Arabidopsis thaliana: one gene and its partners. The protein of the gene in region 1 interacts with the protein of each later gene in a pairwise test. Each region holds a gene or a part of one and is shown on either strand. Other genes may lie near its edges.

Region 1 (5,995 bases):
TTAAGTCTTGAAGAGATGAAAAAGCTGAGCCCTGTGTTTGAAGAAGATGTGTTTGGATTTTTGGGGGTTGAAAATTCAGTCAATAAGTTCAGTTCCTATGGGTCAACAGGATCAAACTGTGTTGCTGAGCAACTTGGCTACTGGGTCAACAAGCTCAACATTACTTCCACCTGATCCGGACCAAACCATTAGCAAAAGATTTGATGACGTTTGTGTAATTTTCATATTTATTGAGGATTTTTGTCGTTAATACCAGGAAGATTTCAAGCAACATGTTGCAGCGGTTTGAGAAGACCCACAAACAAAATAAGTTTTGTAATATTTGAAATCGAGATAATGTGGAAGAGTTTGGTATTCTTCTCATTTCAATGCTCTCTACAATATCAATCTTTTTATATTCTACAATGAGAAGAAGATTAACTCCAAACTTGTGGATATTTGCCCAAAGCTTAAGAAGTTGGATCAAGGGAAGTGCATTGGAGTTAGGTTGTGATTTGAACATGTCTTTAAATTTCAAGAATACTTTGTCAATGCAGACTTCAATTTTCATTTGAGTTTTTTGAATTTTTGTTTTCTTCTTTTTCAAACCCAATTATTGTTCAGAAATACAACAACAAAAACTAGTGGATTGCATTTGGATGTGATTTTTTTTGAACATGGGGGAGGACCACACATGACATGACACACCCTCTTCCTTAGGAGGTGCAACATCTGTTACAACTTACAATATCCTTTTTATGTTCCAAACAAAATGTCATCCTCCATTTTATTATGACCAAACATAAAGTGACACAAATACGTACCAGTAATAACCTCATTGGTGTTTCTCTTCTCCTAAAATAGTTAAATCTAATCTTAACAAAAAACACTCGATTTAATACTATCCATTTGATGTTGGTGGAGTCACTTTCTGACTGTGACACAACCCTTGTCCTAAAATCCCATGTTAGCCACTGATTGATCCTTTTTTTAGATTATTGGTCGGATATTAATTATGGTGAAAGCTCCATTTCTTTCTTAATGGATTGAGTTTACTGGTGAACCTCATTACTCTTGTTATCTTTTAATCCTTGTTTTTGTCTGTATCCATTTTAACTTTTTGGGGGATTTTTCTTTCACTTAGTATAACTTATACGCCATTAATTCTTACAGGATTGGGTTTCTTCGAAACTTCTTGCATGATGTAGTCGATATTTTTTGTTCTTTAGGTTATTACATTATTATGCTTCTAAAAAAATTACAAAATATGATAGTAAACATATGGTATGAAATGGGTAATTTTGATAGACTGAATACACATAAACATACTCATTTATGCAGAAAATTCAGATTAGCATTATCTTCATCCCATCAATCACATCTAATCTTCTATCTTACGATCATGCCCAGCTACAATTCAAAGTTGGACATGTAGAAGAAAACTAATGAAAAAAAGTCGTCGGATCCCATAAATAAATTAATTTGTTGTGACTTTGTCCTCTCCACTAACTATTTGAACTTCAAAATTCAAATGATTTGACTTCATAACAGAAGGTGAATCTTTTCGAAGTCTCTGAGAAACCACACGTGTCGGTCTTCTAAACCACAACCCGACTCATAGTCATTTTCGTTTTCGACTTAACATACCCTTAATTGTCGATTAATTTAATCTGAACCCAAATTATTTATTCATTTGTACCTAAAAACAACACAATTAGGTTCAATTAGAAGCAAAATCAAAATCCTTACCAAAGAAAAAGAAGTAAAACCAAAATTTTATTAAACCAAAGAAAATTTGGGTTCAATGTAACAGTTCTTAGTTATACTACGTTAACCGATAACCGGTTAAATCAGAACCAAAAACTACTGATTCAACAATCCTCGGAAGAAGTGTTATTATTATCACCGTGCCATGACCAGACGATGTCGTTTAACGCCGGCCGTACTTCTTCTTCGTATAACCTATCGTACTCCAAAGTATCTCCCGCCGATTTGCAAAACTCCACCACCGATATCTCCGGCGCTACTTCAAACACTTCCGCCGTCATCGACAACCGTCCTTTTCTCCCTTCCGTTTTCCCTTCCATCTTCACTTTAAAATCCTTCGTTCTCTTCACTTTCATGTTCATCTCCTTCGTAACCGTTTCTATCTTCTCCATTACCTCCGTCGCCGACGACCGTGACGTAAACACCGATTGCACTTTCCTCTTGCTCTCGAACAAGCTCGATAAGTCAAATCCGGAAGACATCGAGGATATGAATTCGAAAGCGTTGAAGAATTTCGGCGATATCGGCTCTGTTTGATTTTCACAATCTCCGTCTTCTTCTTCTTCTTCGTTGTTTTTGCTGCTTTGAGAACAAATCGGTTCGTCGATTTTGAAAGCTAACGGCGGAGTGAAGTTTTTCCGGAGCCAAGGCGTTCTCATAATCGCCGGAATCGAGATCCGTCGATCTGGATCTACAACGAGGAGTTTCGAAATCAACCTCCTCGCTTCCGGAGAAAACCACGGCGGAAATTCAAAATCCGCTCTGAAAATCTTCCGATACATATTCATCAGATTCTCATCTTGAAACGGCAAACATCCGGCGAGAAGAACATACAAAACGACGCCGCACGACCAGATATCAGCTTTCGCGCCGTCGTATCCTTTCTTCTTTAATACCTCCGGCGCAACATACGCCGGAGTTCCACACTGCGTATGAAGCAATCCGTCTTGAAGAATCTGTTCCGGTAACGCAGATAATCCGAAATCGGAGATTTTCAAATCTCCATTCTCATCTAAAAGAAGATTCTCAGGTTTCAGATCGCGATGAGAAACGCCTCTACTATGGCAATAATCAACGGCTGAGATCAATTGCTGGAAATATCTACGAGCAGCGTCTTCGTGTAACTTACCTTTAGAGATTTTGCAGAAAAGCTCGCCGCCTTTAACGAACTCCATGACGAAGAAGATCTTGGTCTTCGTAGCCATGACTTCTTTCAATTCAACTATGTTGGGATGACGAACGAGCTTCATGATTGAAATCTCGCGTTTGATTTGTTCCATCATTCCAGGTCTCTTCATTACTTGATCCTTGTTGATGACTTTGATTGCGACGCACTCGCCGCCGATGATCTCTTTGCCGTAATAGACTTTGGCGAAGGTTCCTTTGCCTAATAACCTTCCCATCTCGTACTTTCCGAACAGAACTCGCCGTTCTTCCTCCATTTGATATTTACACCGACTAGGGAAAATGAAATAGTGGAAGAAGAAGATGAAGAAGGAGGATTAAGAAAAGGTGGTGTTGAAGCATGAAGTTTGATTAGTATTTTGAGTACATGAGGATATATTACTCTCATAGGTGAAGAAGTAGAGCAATTCCATGGAATATGGGAGAGGAAGAGAAATGAGGAAGAAGAAGAAGAAGTGTGCAAATGAATCACAAACGCAGCTACGTGGTGTCCTCTTATTATATACTGAACACTCTTTGAATTTATAGACAAGGTGATAAGCCACTCACAAAGTCACACATGTCACACTGCAATAACTTTACTTTTTCTTTGGAATTTGTTTTTTATATGGAAAATAAGTTTTTTTTACAAAAAAAAAAAAAAAAAAAAAATGGTCATCATTTAAAACATATTGTTTGCAGTTAAAAAAATTATGGGTACTAGATTTTGTTTTTGTTTTGTTATAGTGTTGTACATAAAGAATTTTGTATAACCTTCTATATTTCTACACACGGCATATTGTTTGCTAGATTTTATTCTTAAGAACAACATTCAGAACAATGTCTCTTGTGTTTTTTCCTTTCTTAATTTGTTAATTACTTGGACAAAACTAGATGCTAACAATTATTTCTAAGACTTTGGGGGTCATATGTATGTTTTTTTTTTTTTTAATATTCTCTATTACCTTATAATGTTAAATCATTTTTGTATAACGTAACACTTAAAATTTTCTATTATTTTACAATACACCAATTTCTAGAAGAAAATAAAACAGTGTCAAAATAATAATCAACGTCAAAGGAAATAGGCAATTTAAATAGGTAAATATAACACAGTATGTGTAAATAACATAACCTAAACTTTAGATTATGTTATCATCAAATAAGATTATGCTGTTTGAATGCTATGATTTTCTATAATTCTATTAAATTTTACTTTTTCACGAATAAATATCGTCGGAGAAAAAGGAATAGGTAATCAATTATTGACAGAACTTCCTTAAAATAATGTCAATAATTCTCTCCAACGGTCTAATGCTTTTTGTCCCCCTTATCTTATGTGGTGGTTCCACCCAACCTTTCGTATAAAAAATTTAAATTATTTTAAAATCATTTCATAAACTAGCATACAAATCAAGTTTCTGGTGAGTAGACCATGAAAATTCTAATTAACATATCCATTTTTTTTTAAAAACAAAAATTCAAAATCATTTACAATATTAATTTGTTTCTAAATCATATAGCTCAATTCCATTTTTATCATCAAAAGATAAAAGATTATTAGCCAAAACTTAATGCACGGCTAGCTAATCGTTATTTAGGGATGTCATGTCACTATCTTCAAAGTAGGGAGATCTATTGTGTTCCACCAAGGAATGTTTTAGGATCTAGTCTACTGATCAGGAATTAGACTACTTTACTAACCATTAATAACACCATAAAAATATAACTAATAATTGTATACAAAAAAACACGTATGCGGGATTAGTCCAAATAGAAGCATACCTTGTCCAAATACATACTAAAGTCAGGGGCAGACCCACGTTATGGCTTGTGGAGGCAAGTGCCCCCAGCAGCAATATATAAATAGGTAAAAAAGTTTACACTAGACAAGATTAATTAAAGCAGCAAAGTGGTTAGAGCTTCCTCCACAAGTCTATATTAAAATAACGAGATTGGACACATAACACATACAGCCTTATGCTGTCTACTAAACGCGACAGAAATGAAAAAACAATGTAAAATAACGATGAATATTCACATTCAAAAGAAGAAGCCAATATCAAACTGTACAACAACAACAACAACAACAAAAAAAGCTTTTAGAAGGAAGCTATGCATGAGTTTTACAGAGAGAAAGCTTTTGCTACATATGAAACCTAATCAAACCTTATTATTCATTATTCATATTCAAAACCATTGTTATTCCACCATCACCTTCACAAAGCAAGCTTATTATACCTCTACAGTTCCCTCCTGCTTTAGCTCTGAGTACATTCAAATGGGTGAAAGTTTCCTTCTGCAAATTCTTGCATCCTAAACCTTTGCATTAGCTCCACAGACCTGCAAATGAATCATCAATGTACCAAATCATCAAACCCATTTTGTGTACTCTGAAACCGCCTTGGAGCTTTTATATTAACTCAAACCACCTATCCCAGAAAACTTACAGAGGATTCTCTCGATTGCGGCTTAGCTTCTGTTGATTACTCTCCATTACTTCCACTACATTGGCGGTTGCTGGTCCAGCTGATCCTCCTGCTACAATTGATGGGACTGATGCGGTTGGGCTCCATATCTGTACACATATTTTTACATGCAAATGTTAGTTTTAGAGATCTTACACGAAATGAAAACCAAACCCTGAAGACAGCTTTGTGTGCCTGCTTACCTTTATTGTGTTATCAATTCCACTCGTTGCTACAACACTATCAAACGGATGGCATTGAATGCAGTTCAAAACTAGAGACGAAAGATGATTCTTTTAGCCAACTCGAAATTCAATGAAAAAAAAAGATACTTATGTAATGGATAAAATGTGAAAGGAAAAAAGATCACCTGATTCATCGCCAACGAGCACTTTCATAAGCCTTCCAGTCTGTTTCTCCCATATAAACCACCGACCGTCATCGCTTCCACTTGCAATATATTCACCTGAAATTTGGTAATAAAATGTTCACAGAAAGTCGATACCGTATTGAATTTCAAATTTTATAAACCGCTTTTTCTACTAGAATGGAAAATTGCACTCAGATAACATGAAAGTTGCAACCCCAAGAAACTTACCTCTCTGACCAAGAAAACT
Region 2 (8,895 bases), on another chromosome or scaffold:
TGGTGAAAGGTTTTCAACTTCTTCAGAGGCATCTACATCTGATGCCAACAGCCCGTCGAGGGAATCTACAGAGATTCTGCCACAGGCAACAAATGCAATAGTGACTTCGAATCGGTTAAATTTAAATGGAATTTCAATGTTCCAAGGGTACGTGTACTTTGTATTACAGATACAAATTCCCCATACTAGTAGATATGTAAAATCTTAATACTATGAATATGTGAAACTGAAGCAATACAATAATCTCTATACACTACTACTTCTTGTCAAGTTTTCAGCATTTGGGTGATTGATCTATTTTAATTCAATCAGGCTCATTGAGCGGGCACGGAGGACTGTTCGTGGCTCGGCAGATGACATAGGATGGTTACAGCGTGCCCCGGAGATGCCTCCTGTTGAAGATGGAACTGATAGGTTCAATAAAATTCTGGAAGACATCGGGTATGAATTGGTTGTAGTTGCATGTTTTGTGTGCTTTGTGGCCTTTTCAATATGCTGTTTAACATCCTGTTTTTTACTAAATGGCTGCGTTGATCTGGTTTTTATATCCAGGCATGGTGTACACAGGCTTCCAAATACAGTGGTGTACTTATTGGTTCCAGGTAGCAATTCTTATTCTTTGCTGCCAGCCACTTAAACTACATTACTGTATATTAGGACTCTCAAAATTAGTTGAATTTTTTTTAGGTCTTTTCAGCAATCATGGACCTCTATATTTTGTGGATACGAAAACGAAATTCTCAAAGATGGGTTTGGCGTGTCATATTGCGAAGATTCACAGCGAGGTAATCATAACTAACTCAACTTAGTACAGTTACATTTGGTGTATAGCATACTAATATATGGAGAAATGTTTATATATCAGTCCTCGGTTGAGAAAAATGCGAGAGAGATAAAGGAATACATAGAGGAACTCTGTTGGGGATCTAATAAGCGGGTTCTACTTCTTGGGCATAGCAAAGGAGGCATAGATGCAGCTGCTGCTTTATCACTATACTGGCCTGAACTAAAGGATAAGGTCGCTGGGTTGGTACTGGCGCAGAGTCCATATGGTGGAAGCCCAATAGCTACAGATATCCTCCGTGAAGGACAACTAGGTGATTACGTCAATTTGAGAAAGATGATGGAGATTCTAATCTCCAAAGTCATAAAGGTTTGCAACATTCCTGATCTAACAAAGTCATTTCAGTTGCATTATATCAGCTTCTTGTGATTGCCTGTTAAAATCCTTAGTTAGGTGGAACCGAGAAACTAGGGATAAACCAAAACTTATTTTGTTTCTGGATTCTATTGCTCTGCTGATCTTTCTGATGAATTCCTTGGAACATTGTGAAGGGTGACATTCAAGCATTGGAAGATTTAACATACGAGAGAAGAAAAGAATTCTTGAAGAATCATCCGCTTCCCCGAGAACTCCCCACGGTTTCATTCCGCACAGAAGCTAGCATTAGCCCAGCGGTTCTATCCACTTTATCACACGTAGCACACGCTGAACTTCCTCTGACAAACCAAGCCGCAAAACTGCCAGTGGTAATGCCACTTGGTGCTGCAATGGCTGCTTGCGCTCAGCTACTTCAAGTCAGATACGGTGAAAAGAGTGACGGGCTAGTGACTTGCTGTGACGCAGAGGTTCCTGGTTCTGTGGTTGTTAGACCCAAACGTAAACTAGACCATGCCTGGATGGTGTACTCTTCCTTGAACGAGGTTCCTTTAGAAGCTGATGCTGCTCAAGTTTGTGAAGCGCTCTTAACTTTGCTTGTCCAAGTTGAGCAAGAGAGGCAACAAAAACTCGCAACAAAAATCGATTGATAAACCAAATTGTTTTATTTCTACTTTCGTCTTGAGACTTCAAATTACTGTATTTGTTTCTATCTTTTTGTTTTATTTCTTACTAATTTACTATCAGGTTTGAATCACACGATAACAAAAAAATTATTACAAACGGTAGATTTTATATTTATAAGACTACTTAATTTGCTTCTTTTTTTTTCTTTTATTGTTGATTAATTTTTATTAGAAGATTAGTTATGTTTTTCTCTCTATTCCTTTAACGAACCGTGATCGTGCGGCTCGGATCGTTGGAGATTCTATGGACGGCCGATGCTTATATACTGTAAGTGGAATATGTAATTCCCGAAAGTGCCCTCCAGATGTTCACAAAATTACGCCATCGTACTCGAATTAACTTCAACTCTCTCTTCTCTCTCTCTTTCTTTTCACTCTTGTTTTTGTTTCTGTGAGTGCTGTGTGTGTTCTCGGTTTGTAATATCTAAGTCGCACAAAGATCAGACAAAGTCTGTTTGCGTTTGATAGCATTAGAGTCTGATCGAATTTGGAAGACCTGTGAGATTAGGGTTTCTTTTTGTTTGTTTTTTTTTATTCCGAAGGAGAGCTGCGGAGCAATTGGAATTACCTCGGTTAAAGCAATCACGTAGCTTTGGATCGTTTAGGGTTTTCTCATTGGGTTTGGGGGATTTGTATTCGAGCTTCCTCAAACTCAATCTGATGGTGATGTGAGACAAGGCTTAATCCTGTTAATTGGCGATTCTAGGGTTTTTCAATGGCGAGCACAGGCGAGCCTGACCGTAAAAGGCGTCACTTTAGCTCCATATCACCTTCTGAAGCTGCAGCCGCCGTAAAGAAACAGCCTTTCTTTTGGCCCTCCTCCGAGGACAAGGTTTCTTTCTTCTTCATCTCCCCCTTGTGCATGCCCTTTACATCTATTCTCTTACTTATCCAATCAATCATAGCTTTCCAGCTATTAGAGATTCATATACTGAATGTCTTTTGTCTCGAATTTGGTCTATTTTGGAATTGGGATTCTCTCTCTTAAGGAGTTTGTTTTCGTTTGATACAGCTTGATACTGCAGTTCTTCAGTTCCAAAATCTTAAGCTATCACAAAAGCTAGAGGCTCAGCAGGTTGAGTGTTCTATTCTTGAGGATAAACTCTCTCAGATCAAGGAAAAACAATTACCATACAACTCCAGTTTGAAGACTGTCCATAAGTCTTGGGAAAAGGTAACACTGAATTTGCTTTCGATTCTAATAGAACTTGGATTAGATCTCTTTTTCTAGAGAACTAATTAATGCTTGTATAGCAGCTTACAGCTTCAGTGGAATCATGCTCTGTTCGTGTGAGTGATTCAAGCAGCGGAGCTCATAGGTTTGTAAACAAGGAGGGTATGAACAACTTAAGCCCGCCTTTTCTTCGTTCTGTTAGTGCTAGGATCTAGTTTAGATTTGGTTTTATATGTTACAAATATGACTTTTTGAAAGGTTAACTTTAAATTGCTACACAGATGGGTCTTCTCCAGCCGTGAAAAACGATTTCATCAACCGGCTACTTGAAACTGGTGCTACTGAGAGCTCCTCATCCAATATCTGCTCGAATCAGATGGAAGAAAATGGAGTGAATACGTCAAGCCAGATGACGCAAACCTTGTATAATCTAGTAGCCGCGACAGAGGATTTGAGGTGTCTGAAGGATGAATTATATCCCACAGTTCTCAGAACCAATCTTGGTAAAGGTATGACTTCCACTGCGATCAATTGTCAGCTCTTGTTATGGCCTTTATAACATTTTAGTATTAACCCAGGTCCTATGTGGAATTGCTTTCTTTTCTAGATTTGTGCGGTCAGCTAGCTCTGAGTGAGTTGGAATCAGAAATTAAAAGTTTCAGAGGGGATCTAGATGATGTACTTGTGAAGTTCAAATCACTTTCTAGAGAATTGCAGAGTCATCGCGATGCTGATGCTAAAGTTAGAGTAGACCTCAAACGAATAAGAGGTAGCTACTTAGTCTCGTCTCACTCGACTATATACTGTTAAAATGGATTTTTTAATTGGCATTGTTTATATGGATATAGTATTCATGCATCAAATGTAAATTTGTAATCATATACGTGGCTTGACAAAAAAAGGTCCTATATACATGAAAAGCTACTGAAATCATATCTCGCTTTTGATTGATGAGGATAAGTGTAAGTAGAGGTGATCAAATTGTGAATCTTCCAATTCCACGCCTGTGTATTTATGTCCAGCACTACTCAGTTGTTTAATAGCCATGATTGGATTTAGATCATAGAGATTAAGATTGAAGAGAGAGATACATTAAGACTGGAAGAAAACCTCTATGGTAGAGCCAGCTGTTAAGAAGACATGTAGCTGTGGAAGATATACTCATTAGCGAACTGATGGGTGTACAAAACCCTTCTGAGACATGAACTTCTTAGTTTTCTTTTATACCATTTACCCATATTTATATATTTCGGTAGATTTTAGGAGATAGAGAAGCTGGTAATTCTTTGAGAATGACATACATCCACATAAGTGAAGCATCTTAATTTTGTTGATAAATTACCCGTTTACCTTAAGATGTAAGATTTCAATACTGACAGTAGCCACAGTTAAGAAATTCAAAGAGTTAAAATTTATTTTAGTTTACATGCCTGCTTTTGGATTAATGCTTCTTGACTACCGCATCAACTGATATTATACTTTATTTGGTCTATTCGAAGGGGAGCTAGAGGATGAGGTTGTGGAGCTTCAGCAGTGTAATGGTGACTTGTCAGCATTGAGAGCAGAAAGGGATGCAACAGCTGGGGCGTTTTTCCCAGTGTTGAGTCTTGGAAATAAGCTTGCTACCAGTGATCGGGAGAGGGATAAACAAAGGGATCTGCAAGACATGGAAACAGTTCTGAAAGAGTTAACGGTATCTTTGTTTTTCTGATTTGTTTTCATTGGTAATTCTTTAAGTTTTGGGTTGATAACGGCCTGGTTTCGGTAGGTCCTGGCTTCAGGCAGGCTACAACAGCTAAAAAATCTTCATGAGGAGAGGACAAAGATGCTTGGAAAAATGAGTAATTTACAGGTCAGTGTATTGATCCAATTGGGGTATTTGTATTAGTTTGTCTCTGTATGGGGTTTGATATATGAAAATTTGTGGAATGGTAGCCTCTTCCTATTGCTAAAACTGATGTAAGAGTTTTCTAACAGAACAAGTCAAAGTCTGTGAGGTGCATCTCATCTTCTCAAGCCTGCCTTTCTTTGAAAGACCAGCTAGAAAAATCCAAAGAAGCAGTTTTCCAGTATATGGCTTTACTTGAGAAACTGCAGGTTATATCTGGTTTGCGATTTTCATTTTGTATCTATGTTTATAAAATTTACGTTGTATATTTAGTTGTGAAGCTTTCCTCCATTCGAAAATTTCAGGTTGAAAAAGATAGTATAGTCTGGAAGGAAAGGGAGATAAATATAAAAAATGAACTAGGTGATGTTTCTCGAAAGACGTCTGCTGTTACTGATTCTAGAATGGCTTCTTTGGATTCGGAGATACAGAAACAACTGGATGAAAAAATGCGAATCAAGACTAGGCTGGGAAATATATCAAGAGAGCGAGGTCACAAATTGATTACTTTGACTTCCAATTCTGTATCTCCCACCCACACCTGTTTCACTTTGGAGTCTGATTAAGTTATTCGTATGTCAGGTAGAAAAGAAATCTTTGCAGATATGAAGGCATTAATTTCTTCGTTCCCCGAGGAAATGAGTTCCATGCGTAGTCAATTAAACAATTATAAAGAGACTGCTGGAGGTATTCATTCTCTGCGGGCTGATGTCCAGTCCCTCTCTGGGGTTCTATGTAGGAAGGTGGGAAATAATGTGAACAGTGATTGATGCTTATTGTTACAGTTTATGTTATGCTTACTTAATAAGCTTAATTGGTGAACAGACAAAAGAGTATGAAGCATTGCAATTGAGATCAGCTGATTATGCTTCTCAGTTAGGTGACCTGAATGCTACGGTATGATGCAATGTATCTACCTTTTTCAGTGTACTGCCCATGACTTATATATGTTGACAGTGTTCATATTGGTTATTGTTACTTTGCATTATTTCTTGGAAAAAGTATAGTGAAAAGGCGGATTAGCAATTTAAATCTTGTTAAATGTCTTTGGTTGGCAAAGTGGTAGTTGTTATGTTCTTTACTTTCAATTGATTGGAGTCTGTCATGCAGGTTTGTGATTTGAAGAACAGTCATGAGGAGTTAAAGTTGTTTCTGGACATGTATAAACGTGAGTCCACTGATGCGAGGTAAGCACAACTATATATAACGATATCTAAGATTTCAATTCTTAGAGAAAAGTTTCCTTATCTTCCCCTTCTCACTGTCCAAATATATAGTATAACAACAAGTGCTGTTATTAATCTTGCCTTCTGACTGAACTATCGAATCTTGCTGAAAGTTTGTTGTTAATTTTTCTTGCGTTTCTGAAGAAACTTATGTTCACATTTTCAATTTATCCATGACAGCTTTTAATATCTGATCTATTTTTACAGTTCCATCTGATAAAAACTCTTTTGGATGTGTTAGGATTTGTTTATCTTCTTATCTTGACTGAACACATTATTATAATGCGGTTGGTATATTGCCTTAAGCATCACTGTCGATAATGTGCTATGGCAGGGACATAGCTGAAGCCAAGGAACAGGAGTACAGGGCTTGGGCTCATGTTCAGAGTTTGAAATCATCCCTTGATGAGCAAAATCTGGAGTTGCGCGTTAAGGCAGCAAATGAAGCTGAAGCCGTTTCCCAACAAATGTTGGCTGCTGCGGAAGCAGAGATTGCTGATTTAAGGCAGAAAATGGATGATTGTAAAAGGTAAATAAGTATAAGTAGAAGTCTGCAATTTATAGATGCAATCACGCAGTTCTTCCATAGGAATTCTTTGAGAGTTTTTTGTTTGACAAGGATAAGTCTTTTCTGTTTCAGGGATGTCGCCAAGCATTCTGATATCTTGAAATCTAAACATGAAGAACATGGAACATATCTTTCTGAAATACAGGTTGGCTTATGAAATTTCGTGTTTCTTTGTTCTTAACATATTTTAAAAACCTTGATGTTGCGTATCGATTTACAGTAACTATATTCTTTTAGACAATTGGAAGTGCCTATGAGGACATTGTACCGCAAAACCAACAGCTTTTGCTTCAAGTTACAGAGAGGGATGACTATAACATCAAGGTATCGTGTCCAAACTCTTCTAGTTCCTCTATCTGATCTATCTCTGTGACTTCTCACTTACTCTTATATCTAGTAGTGTTACATTTATTCAGAGATTGATGGATCGTTTTAATGGGCATGGACCAATTTCTGTGGTTATACCTTGTATGTTTTGCTAGAATATCATGAAAAAAAGGATGGTTTGTTACTTGGATCAGACAATGAGATGTAATTTTTTGCTCGCCCATTGTTGTTTCAGCTTTTCTTGGAAGGCATAACTTCTAGGCAGATGCAAGATACTCTGCTTATCGATAAATACATCATGGATAAGGATATACAGCAAGGCAGTGCATATGCCAGTTTCCTATCCAAGAAATCATCAAGAATTGAAGATCAGGTATATCTGTGTGTGCCCGTATGCTCAAATTGTAAGCCTCCTTATTGTGAGACTTTGACTAAGGTGTTTTTCTTTTTCCTTGCAGTTGAGGTTCTGCACAGATCAGTTTCAGAAACTAGCGGAAGATAAATATCAAAAGTCTGTTTCTCTTGAAAATCTGCAAAAGAAACGTGCAGACATCGGGAATGGCTTGGAACAAGCTAGGTCAAGGCTGGAGGAGTCCCATTCTAAAGTTGAGCAAAGTCGGCTGGATTATGGGGCATTAGAACTGGAACTGGAGATTGAAAGGTAAATCAATTGCTCCCTCCATCTTCTCTATCCTAATTAATAGTCATAAACAAGTGTTAGTGATGAAGGTATCGTTCTTTTCTGCGTATATCAGGTTCAATAGGAGAAGGATAGAGGAGGAAATGGAAATAGCCAAAAAGAAAGTTTCTCGTCTTCGGTCTCTCATAGAAGGATCATCGGCCATTCAAAAGCTCCGACAAGAACTCAGTGAATTTAAAGAAATTCTGAAGTGTAAGGCCTGCAACGATCGCCCAAAAGAGGTAAAGAGTCACTGCTCTCCATTATTTAGATCTCAGCAAGACGCTCAAATCATGATCCCTTGAATCTTTTAGTCAACTGCGTGCGTGATTGCTGATTGGTTTTGGTCTTTGGCTTAACAAACTAGGTGGTGATTACGAAGTGCTACCATTTGTTCTGCAACCCATGTGTGCAAAAGCTCACAGGAACTCGACAAAAGAAGTGTCCAACATGCTCAGCAAGTTTTGGACCAAATGATATTAAACCTATCTACATATGACCGCACCAAAACACTCTGAGCATGATGATGTATGATGAAACTGTGAAACACACACAGGTACTTTTTCTCATATAGGATAAACATTAGATCTCTCTGTAATTATTACTCTCTTTTATTGGGAAAGGTCATGAAGAATAATTGGATATGGCAAATCAGAGTTTTTGAGGAACCATTTTGGGATTTTGATAATGTGATAGAGAATAGGTAACACTGTTAGGGTTTATGTCTTTGGTGATACTTCCTTTTTGTTTGTAATTTGGAACATGGTTTCCGCAATTGATTTTTCAATTAAATCTTCTTTTTTGTTCTACATTTGTGTATGATCCAAACGTTTGTGATGTAGTGTTCTAAGATTCTCAATTTAGAAAACACGAGGCAAGATTTTGGATATTTGTACCATTTGCGATGAATTGCAATCCAATTTGTTTGTTGGCATCTCCAAAGACTTCGATCCTTGGGATCATGATTCGAGATGGTCTTTCACAATCCTAGGTAGGAATTACAAGTATTTTTGGTGGATCTCCAATGACCTTAAATATTATAAGTGAATTTAGTACTAGTGTTTCTCTCTGTAACTACGGTTTGTAAAAGTGGGTTAAAACCAATAGTTGAAAATGTAAGAAAAAGACTAAAATCATTTCATGCATTATCAATTTTGAGCTTTAACATACAACTTCGGAATGTACCGT
Region 3 (8,440 bases), 4.8 Mb from region 1:
GTCTTTTCTTTCAAGGTTTTCCATTCTCGATTTCCCGAGCTTCATCTGAGCTTAAAGGTAGTAATGTTGTGGACTGAGTTATCTTACAAGTTGCAATATGTTTTTACAATGAGTAGAAAATGCCGGTTGTTGATAACATGTCCTCTTGATTTACAGATTCAGCTTACACCTGCTCAAATACTTCAAAGAGATGAGACATCTTATTCAAGGATGGGTTTAACACCTAAATCAAAGATGGCTTCAACCACATATTCACCGGCTCTCAGTAGCCAAACTGGCCCGAGCCTGAGGGATGTGGCACAGTTCACTGAGGTATATGGCCATCACCATTTAAGCCACAGATATTGATGTTTACATTTCATTTATGCCTAGGAAAAGCAGAACGATTTCTCGAATGATCTAACTTTTGTTTTCCGAGTTAACTTTTGAATTTTCCTGCAGAGCTTTAAAGAAAATCTTATTGGATACAGTGAACACAGAGTGGAAATAGATGAGCGCCTACATTGTTTGGAAGCTGAACAAAACCAGGCTAAGGAAGAGTTGCGTACCTTGCAAGGTAACTATTATCATTTGAAGAAGTTTTGATAACTACGATGGGGATTGAATTTGCATTGATGCTTACCTGCTCATGTTGCCTAAACCTTTATCTCAGCTTCTCTAGAACCTCTCGGTGCTATGTTCCCAGAATGCCTATCCACCAAAGAATCAATGATGAAACAGATTGAAGAGAAGCATCATGACACTGCAGCATCAGTTTTCTGTTGTTTGTACAGAAAGTCACCGCCTCCACAGTCACTGTTTCTGTCAAAGAAAGGAGTATTTGGCCTCGTAGCACTTCTTGGTTCAGTTGCCTCCACCTCCCTTAGCAGGTGACATAAATTTATACCCACAGTGTTACTACTGATCATAGTGGCCAAAACTTTTGTATCTGAAGTCATTTGGTATGCAGGGTGTTATCTGAATATTTGGGAGAAGACATGTTGCTCGCTTTGGTATGCAAATCGGCACAAATTGGACCTAATAATGCTGAGTTTCTCAGGCTTCAGTCCAATCATCGGTTTCATGTTCTATGTCTTGATGCAATCAGGTATTTGTCAACATATCGATAGCTAAACCTTAGAGTCGTTTCTGACAGAATCATAAGTGATCTTTTCAAACACGCAGACCTTGGAAGGATGGACTTTTGGAGAACGATCCTCAGAAGAAATTAGCCATGGATGACCCAAAGCTGCCCGATGGAGATCCCATACCGGGTTTCAAGGGCTATGCCGTGAACATGATTGATTTGGCTCCAGAGGAGCTCACTGTTCAAACTTACTCAGGATACGGGCTTAGAGAGACTTTGTTCTATAATCTCTTTGGGAATTTACAGGTATAGAGACCCAAAAGCAAGTTAAAGCAGCTCTTCCACACATCAATGGTGGTGGTGCAGTCTCTTTAGATGGTTTTATCGCAAAAGATAACGGATTCATATATTCCGGGTGCAGGTACTTGACCTTTTCTTGATCCTTGTATCCGTTTTAGTTCTTGAATTTAAACTGTAAAGCTCAAAACTCGAGTTTTATTCCTTGCATCTGTATTTACTGCGGATGATATGATTTATGGTTTTTGGATCAGCATACCGGAATTTCATTTCCCGATTACACTAAAGGAGGATGAAGAAGTGAAGCTGAGAAAAATGGAAGCAGCAAGAGATAAAGTGAGAATGGCAGCGAAGAAGATAGAGGAGGAGAAGTGTTCAATGCGTAAGGTAGACAAGAAAATGAAGAAAACAAATGAAAAATATCACAATGTCACAAACTCATTAGAGCTAATCCAGTCTCAGTCTTTAGAGTAATGAGAGTAAAACTGGACCTAAAACGATTCAAACAGTTTGTTTACCTGTTGGTTATCGGTTTGGTTTTTGTGTTTTTGGATTAGTCACTTTTGTTCTGAAATTTCATTTTCTTTTTCGGTTAATGGTATTTTGTTCACCAATTTTCTATTTCAAAAGTTTGTTTTTGATCTTGCTGCTATGATCTTTTTAAATAACTAGATTTTTTGAACCATAACGAACATATTATAAGAAAATAGCCATGGTAGCAAAACCAAACTTTTAAAATATCACCAATCCAACAGACAAAAAGAGAATACTAGTGGGCAAAAAGTGAAGGAAAATTTATCATTTCACATCGTAATTTTTTGTTTAATTGAAAAAGTGCAAATGAAATGATGGGTCAACTATAAATAAAATAAAGATTTTGTAATTGAACTAAGAAAATAAAACTCTGTGGATCATGACGAAAGTTAGAAAAGTTAGGCACATGTAGTTTCAGTGTTGTCATGTTTTTTTTTATGTAAGAGTAGGAAGCTCTCTTATAGGACGGGTATGATCAGCTGACAAGTTCCAAACCCTATAAAAAGTGATGTACATTGTGGAATCTGGTAGCTTGACGATGATGAATGTGATATATCTCTTTCATAGTTACGTTTTCATGGTAATTGTTAAAATTTTCATAAACAATCGAGTTCATTTTTATCGGAATCATAATAATTACTACAAAAATGAGCATACGTATAAATGTAATTATCAATCATCTGTAAGAAAATTTGTATTAGTTAGTTTAAGAAATATATTAGCGACTTTTTTTTTGGTCACAAGAGTGTCCATTTTATTTATATCAAACATCAAACTAAGGTCCAAGACAAACACATCAAGCGAAGGTGTAAGACAAAATTTCTTATGAAATATATAATTAACTTTTTTAAAATTGGTGTATTTTCAGAAGTGAATAATATTTTAGGTTATTTTTATATCAAAAACTGCCTCTCATATTTATAATTTTTTAAAAGATTATTTGCCAACAACCACCACAAGTGTCAACAAAAGGAAATTAAAAAGTGAGGTGGGACTTGAAAACAGTACTACTCTAATATTTTTTTTGTTTGTCATAAATAGAAGGTCGAGGAAACATTGCTATATAGTTTATAGTACACGATATAAAAATATATTTTCAAAACCGACATAACATCGGGATCCATCTGCGCATGGACGGACACAAACCTAACCCGATGTTGGGAAGCTCGTCACAAATTTGTTCTTCTATTTAAATAACTCTCATTTTGCCCTTTTCCTCTTCCAACACCATTATTCAATTATTCAAGATCGAGACAAGTGAAGAGTCGACAAGAACATATAGAGATTCATCCATATCTTGGTTAGTTATTTTTGATCTTATTTTTTTTGTTTCTTCGATTCACCATTGCTGAGAAAATCTTTCATCTCTATCCAATGTTTTTTTTTTCTATCACTTCCATGTTTTGGTTTTCTGTTTCGTAATTTTTAGTCCACCTCAAGATATATGTAAAGGAATTCACTGTTTTCCTCTCTCTTTTTTTCGAAATGGAGGTTTATGAGCTTGAAGTTTATCCCATCTTGGGTTTTCTTCAAGAAAGAGTCAAAATATGTCCGTGTTTCCAGGAATCTTCTGATAAGATTTAGTATAATTCGGTTAAATATTAGAAAAAACAAACAAACCAAAGCAAAACCATTCTTTAAAACTGACTCAATTGAGTTCTTTAGTGCTATAGACTGAATTGAACCGTTTGATTTTTGTTTTTCTTCTAATTGAGTGTATAGTTTCCAACATTCCATTAATCATTCAATGGAATTTGGCTTTGGTTTTGGTTTCAATCGAAATCAAGTTATTTCAGATTAGAGATTACAAATTGGATCATATCCGGTTTGGTCCATCTCGGTTCGATTTTGGTGGGTGTTTAATTAGTTGGTAGCCATTAGATATTTAGAACTGTTTTTTTGTTTCTTGTGTCACTTTTGGTGATTTAGAGTCTAAGGAGAGGAGATGGCAAATTTGATTTCTTACTAAAAATCAAAGACCACACCTAATAAACTTATTTATAGCAAATAAATTATAAAAGTCAATAGCTGCAAGTTTTTTTTTTTTTCATTTTTACTATTTAAATACTTATAGAGAAAATAATTAATTTTAAAACGTCATATTGCTGCGTGGCCGGTTTGATTAAACAACATTTTTGTTATTAATTATACAAAAAGATCGCGAGAAGTAAACAACAAGATGAAAATACTGCTTCTAAATTAGATATGTCTAAGTTTGTTTACACGACGTACATTGAGTATGATTACGTATAGATCTAAAAAACAGGTAATGAGAATTTGGAGGCTCCACACATAACAAAATCAAAATGGTCCATAAATTAATACATTAATTAGAAATGTCATAGAAAAGCCAAATGCACCAAAACCTTCCTTAGGCATTAGTTGATCATTATTAATGATTCATTAATTAACCAACTAGGCTCATGTAGTTTTCAAATATATACTATATTAGATTTGAGGTTCCAAGTTCAAGATTCGCTTTGCCTGGTCAAAGACAGGCTCTGATATGTACCAAATTAAATGCTAGTATGGTTGAGGATTTTACGTGGCTTTTTTGGAACAAAACGAGATTTAAATATACTATATAGTCTCTAGATATTAGTGTAAGTGTAATCAAGCCCTTTTTGTTTTATTTATTAGTAAAACACATATAAATTGCCTACATTGAAAAAAGCAACAAAAGGTTGTCTCAATCTCGTGATTATTGATTTTTGATAAAGCATCACTTTTTAATGTGGTCCCATGGCCATTCATATTGTAACTCTTCTCTTAGTTCTCTATCCTTTTCGTTCAAAATCCATTCTAGTCTCTCTTCACTTAAAAATGTACTCACCAAAACAACTTAAATCATGTTGGGTCTGATTGGTAACACAAAACTTTAGCTGTTAGCTGGAGCGGTAAACTGTTACGAAATAGTACAAAACTGTCTAAAAGAGCTGTACAGAAAAGTTTAGAATAAAACTTTTTGTAACGTTTTTGATAAAGTTTTTTTGAATGGTAACTGTCAAAGTTGTACAGTTTGTACAACTTTGATAATGAGTTACCATTCAAAGCCGTTATTTATTCAACCTATCCGGCTTCTTATTATGTTCCTAAACTTACGACATGGTTGTATTACTCGCTTAAATGTGTTCTTGTGATTGAGTTGGACATAGGTTCAAGCTTATTTGGAAAAGAAAAGAAAACATCTTTGTAGATATTTACTAGAGTACATTGACTGATTCATGTATATACGTGGACCAACGTCGATTAGATTTGATATTGATCCGGTATTTGTATTTATGTATTATCTATATGTATGCATATATCATAGGAGACTTTGATCATTTATCTATGTTATTAGGGATAATAAAATTAGGAGTAAACTAATTATCTCTTATATCTATACACCTAGTCATTAGCGTGGCTAATACGGCGACTTGCCTACACCTTCTGTGAATTATATAATATTTGGTTTCATTACGTTTATTGTGAATCATTACTAAATTATAGATTAAATAGGGAAAACGCTGTTTTTGTTCTAATTTTGGCTACTTCTGTTAATGAATTGATTGTTTAGGGAGAGCTTACTAGCTGTCGTGAAAGCTACAACTATTTTAATGGCTAACTTTGCCACCTATATCCTATGTATTTATTATGTAAAAAAAAAAATGTATAAACCAATGACATAATCGTTCGTATAGCCGTCGACTTCTATTGTATATTTGCTCAAACGTCGACCCTTTCAAAATTTTAATATCGATGTTTGTCAAACTCTTGCAGATTTTGATGAATTCGACGCTAGATTGCCTTTAACGAAATTCAAATGTTACATATACATAGACGATATATATATACATGCATTAGATGTACATGATTAGTGCTCATCTACATTAATATTTCATGTATGTATATGTAATTAAATATTGAATTTCATTAGAAACATTTTGGTAATCTCGTGAGTTTGCCAAAATATGTTTACTTTGTTTGAGTTTGACCACAAAAAAAACACTAGAAAAGTCAATAACGTGACAAACTAAACAAGTTGCCTATTATTAATTGCACTCGATCTTAATTGGTTTGTTCTAGGACCATTTTTAGTAGAAGTAAAACCAGCGAAAACGAATGTAGGATTCAGTCGAAGGGTGTTTTATAAAATCATCAAATTATTAGGAACAATGAAATATCTGTAAATTAACCAAGATTATTTGCGTTTGGTTGTAGCGTGAGAAAAGCAAAGGCTAATAACAGTTGAGAGAAGGGTGTGTTTGTATGGGCTGCTCTGTATCGAAGAAGAAGAAGAAGAATGCAATGCGACCACCGGGATATGAGGATCCCGAGCTTCTTGCATCCGTCACGCCATGTTAGTTTTTAGTTTAAAATCTTATTAGTAAGACAATCTTTAAATGTTACAATAGCATGTTGTAGAGTTTGGTAAACTTTTTCAAATTTTATTTTACTTGTAATGGGAGGGACAATAGTCACGGTAGAAGAAGTGGAGGCTTTGTATGAACTGTTCAAGAAGCTAAGCAGCTCAATTATCGATGATGGTCTTATTCATAAGGTTTCTTCTTTCACTCTAAAAGGTCCATATGTAGACAGCAATTAGGTAATCTATATAGCTTAATTAGAGTTTAAAAGTTTGATGTTGCAGGAAGAATTTCAGCTGGCTTTATTCAGAAATAGGAACCGGAGGAATCTCTTCGCTGATCGGGTACATATAGTAACTACCTAGCTAGAACAAGTGACATTATTGAAAACATATGTAAATTTAAACAAAGTTCTGTTTTATAATATGCAGATATTTGATGTATTTGATGTGAAGCGAAATGGAGTGATCGAGTTTGGTGAATTTGTCCGGTCCTTAGGTGTCTTCCATCCAAGCGCGCCGGTCCATGAAAAAGTCAAATGTCATTCTTCTAGCCCCAAAAATTGTTTCATATTCATTCTATGTGAATTTACTTGATATTCTTTTCTTAATTGGCTAACTAACAAAGAATTTTCTCATGAATTTGCAGTTGCTTTCAAGTTGTACGATTTACGACAAACTGGATTCATCGAGCGAGAAGAAGTGAGTCCATTTACGGATACTTTGTTTTGGTACCCTCCAGATTAAACAGTTTTACTCCACTAACGTTTATGTGTGTTGATCTAACATGTATATACCATAATGAATTACATTTTGATTAGTTGAAAGAGATGGTAGTAGCGCTTCTTCACGAATCCGAACTAGTTCTTTCCGAAGATATGATTGAAGTAATGGTGGATAAGGTAATCACTCCCACACCGATGCACATTTGTTTACTAGATATTAATTCCAATACTGAAGATGATATGATAAAGAATTTATAAGGAAATGGTGGTATATATTTGCAGGCTTTCGTGCAAGCAGACCGCAAAAACGACGGAAAAATCGATATAGATGAATGGAAAGACTTTGTATCCTTGAATCCATCGCTCATCAAGAACATGACTTTGCCATATCTAAAGTGAGTTCATAATTTACACCGTGACCAACTTTGATCCAAACCAACTGCTTTGATTGTTGCATTGAATCAAATTGACTAATCAGAAGATTCTTGGTAAATGTAGGGACATAAATAGGACGTTTCCAAGTTTCGTTTCATCTTGTGAAGAGGAAGAAATGGAATTGCAAAACGTATCTTCCTAATATAAGCCATGCAAGGAAAGATAAATATACATAAAACGAATATTTTTGTACAATATCTTAAAAGAGGAAGATAGAGATGTAAGCTAGGATTTGGAAATAAACCGATCTTGATAACGATATTGGACTTGCCTTGTGTACTGTATATATTTAGTTATTTACATAGCGACTCTCCATCTCACATACATAATTACTAATTAAATATTTACAAATCTAGTCTATTATTGCTTCATTGTTGTATATACCAAAATATATGATCCACCTTTTGCGGATATTCATATTTTTGTTACATGAAAATATTCGTGTTTTTTTTAGAATAACAATAAAAAATTTGTACACACATGGTTTATTATTGTAGATAATATTAATATATATCAAACGAAATTTTAAAAGTAGATGATTTATGAAAATAATTTTTGCTTATTTTAATTAGTTCTTGAGTAAAATTATTTATACATTCTAGATATTAAATAATGTTGAATTTTTAATTGAATAAACACTTTATTATATATAAAAATTGAAAAACAAAGCAAGCCGAGGAATCTCTCTCTAATCTATCTCCAAGACGGACCAAACCAGTTTTAGTTCTATCTCTCAATCTCTCTGATCAGCTCCATTTCCAATGTAAGCCCACCAACTTCAACTCTAATCTCCATCTTCCTCTTCCTCTTCAAATTCGTTTAGTTCAACAAGTTCCCATCTTTCCAGTGTCAATCGACGATTCCTTTTTCCGTTAATACGCATGTATTTGATTCTTATTGCTGAGGAATTGAAGAACCATTTTGATCATTGTTGTACCCATTGATGTCAAATTCAAGATATAATTGATTACTGTTTGTTAATCTTCGTTGACGTGATAAAGTTGACTCCTTTTTGTGTAGTGCAATTCAAAGGTA

Evidence for each region.
Region 2: the proteins of CIPK5 (region 1) and HUB1 interact in binary tests that used the Arabidopsis thaliana proteins (3 or more experiments, as listed by UniProt).
Region 3: the proteins of CIPK5 (region 1) and SOS3 interact in a two-hybrid assay, tested with the Arabidopsis thaliana proteins (2 studies listed by BioGRID).

What each region holds. Positions count from the first base shown.
Region 1 is NC_003076.8:3,443,719-3,449,713, forward strand, and holds CIPK5 (CBL-interacting protein kinase 5), read right to left. Parts: upstream 3,561-5,995; 5' UTR 3,189-3,560; coding exon 1,851-3,188; 3' UTR 1,311-1,850; downstream 1-1,310. Other genes in the region: AT5G10920 (L-Aspartase-like family protein), read left to right, coding at 1-174; ASG2 (transducin family protein / WD-40 repeat family protein), read right to left, coding at 5,172-5,253, 5,361-5,488, 5,582-5,652, 5,749-5,844, 5,977-5,995. UniProt on the Arabidopsis thaliana protein: CIPK serine-threonine protein kinases interact with CBL proteins. Binding of a CBL protein to the regulatory NAF domain of CIPK protein lead to the activation of the kinase in a calcium-dependent manner.
Region 2 is NC_003071.7:18,541,913-18,550,807, reverse strand, and holds HUB1 (histone mono-ubiquitination 1), read left to right. Parts: upstream 1-2,155; 5' UTR 2,156-2,560; coding exon 2,561-2,677; intron 2,678-2,857; coding exon 2,858-3,019; intron 3,020-3,102; coding exon 3,103-3,181; intron 3,182-3,300; coding exon 3,301-3,528; intron 3,529-3,626; coding exon 3,627-3,788; intron 3,789-4,518; coding exon 4,519-4,712; intron 4,713-4,787; coding exon 4,788-4,871; intron 4,872-4,996; coding exon 4,997-5,116; intron 5,117-5,212; coding exon 5,213-5,399; intron 5,400-5,489; coding exon 5,490-5,650; intron 5,651-5,732; coding exon 5,733-5,804; intron 5,805-6,017; coding exon 6,018-6,094; intron 6,095-6,467; coding exon 6,468-6,662; intron 6,663-6,773; coding exon 6,774-6,846; intron 6,847-6,938; coding exon 6,939-7,025; intron 7,026-7,101; coding exon of another isoform or gene 7,102-7,137; exon of another isoform or gene 7,138-7,261; intron 7,262-7,263; coding exon 7,264-7,401; intron 7,402-7,486; coding exon 7,487-7,689; intron 7,690-7,783; coding exon 7,784-7,949; and 4 more. Other genes in the region: AT2G44970 (alpha/beta-Hydrolases superfamily protein), read left to right, coding at 1-147, 313-441, 553-602, 688-785, 866-1,153, 1,336-1,809. UniProt on the Arabidopsis thaliana protein: E3 ubiquitin-protein ligase that monoubiquitinates H2B to form H2BK143ub1. H2BK143ub1 gives a specific tag for epigenetic transcriptional activation and is also prerequisite for H3K4me and maybe H3K79me.
Region 3 is NC_003076.8:8,237,888-8,246,327, reverse strand, and holds SOS3 (Calcium-binding EF-hand family protein), read left to right. Parts: upstream 1-2,884; 5' UTR 2,885-3,197; exon of another isoform or gene 3,198-6,100; 5' UTR 6,101-6,148; coding exon 6,149-6,239; exon of another isoform or gene 6,240-6,341; coding exon of another isoform or gene 6,342-6,357; coding exon 6,358-6,440; intron 6,441-6,517; coding exon of another isoform or gene 6,518-6,530; coding exon 6,531-6,590; intron 6,591-6,677; coding exon 6,678-6,786; intron 6,787-6,894; coding exon 6,895-6,947; intron 6,948-7,066; coding exon 7,067-7,147; intron 7,148-7,252; coding exon 7,253-7,365; intron 7,366-7,468; coding exon 7,469-7,547; 3' UTR 7,548-7,845; downstream 7,846-8,440. Other genes in the region: AT5G24275 (En/Spm-like transposon), read left to right, coding at 1-57, 157-312, 442-556, 653-869, 950-1,087, 1,165-1,378.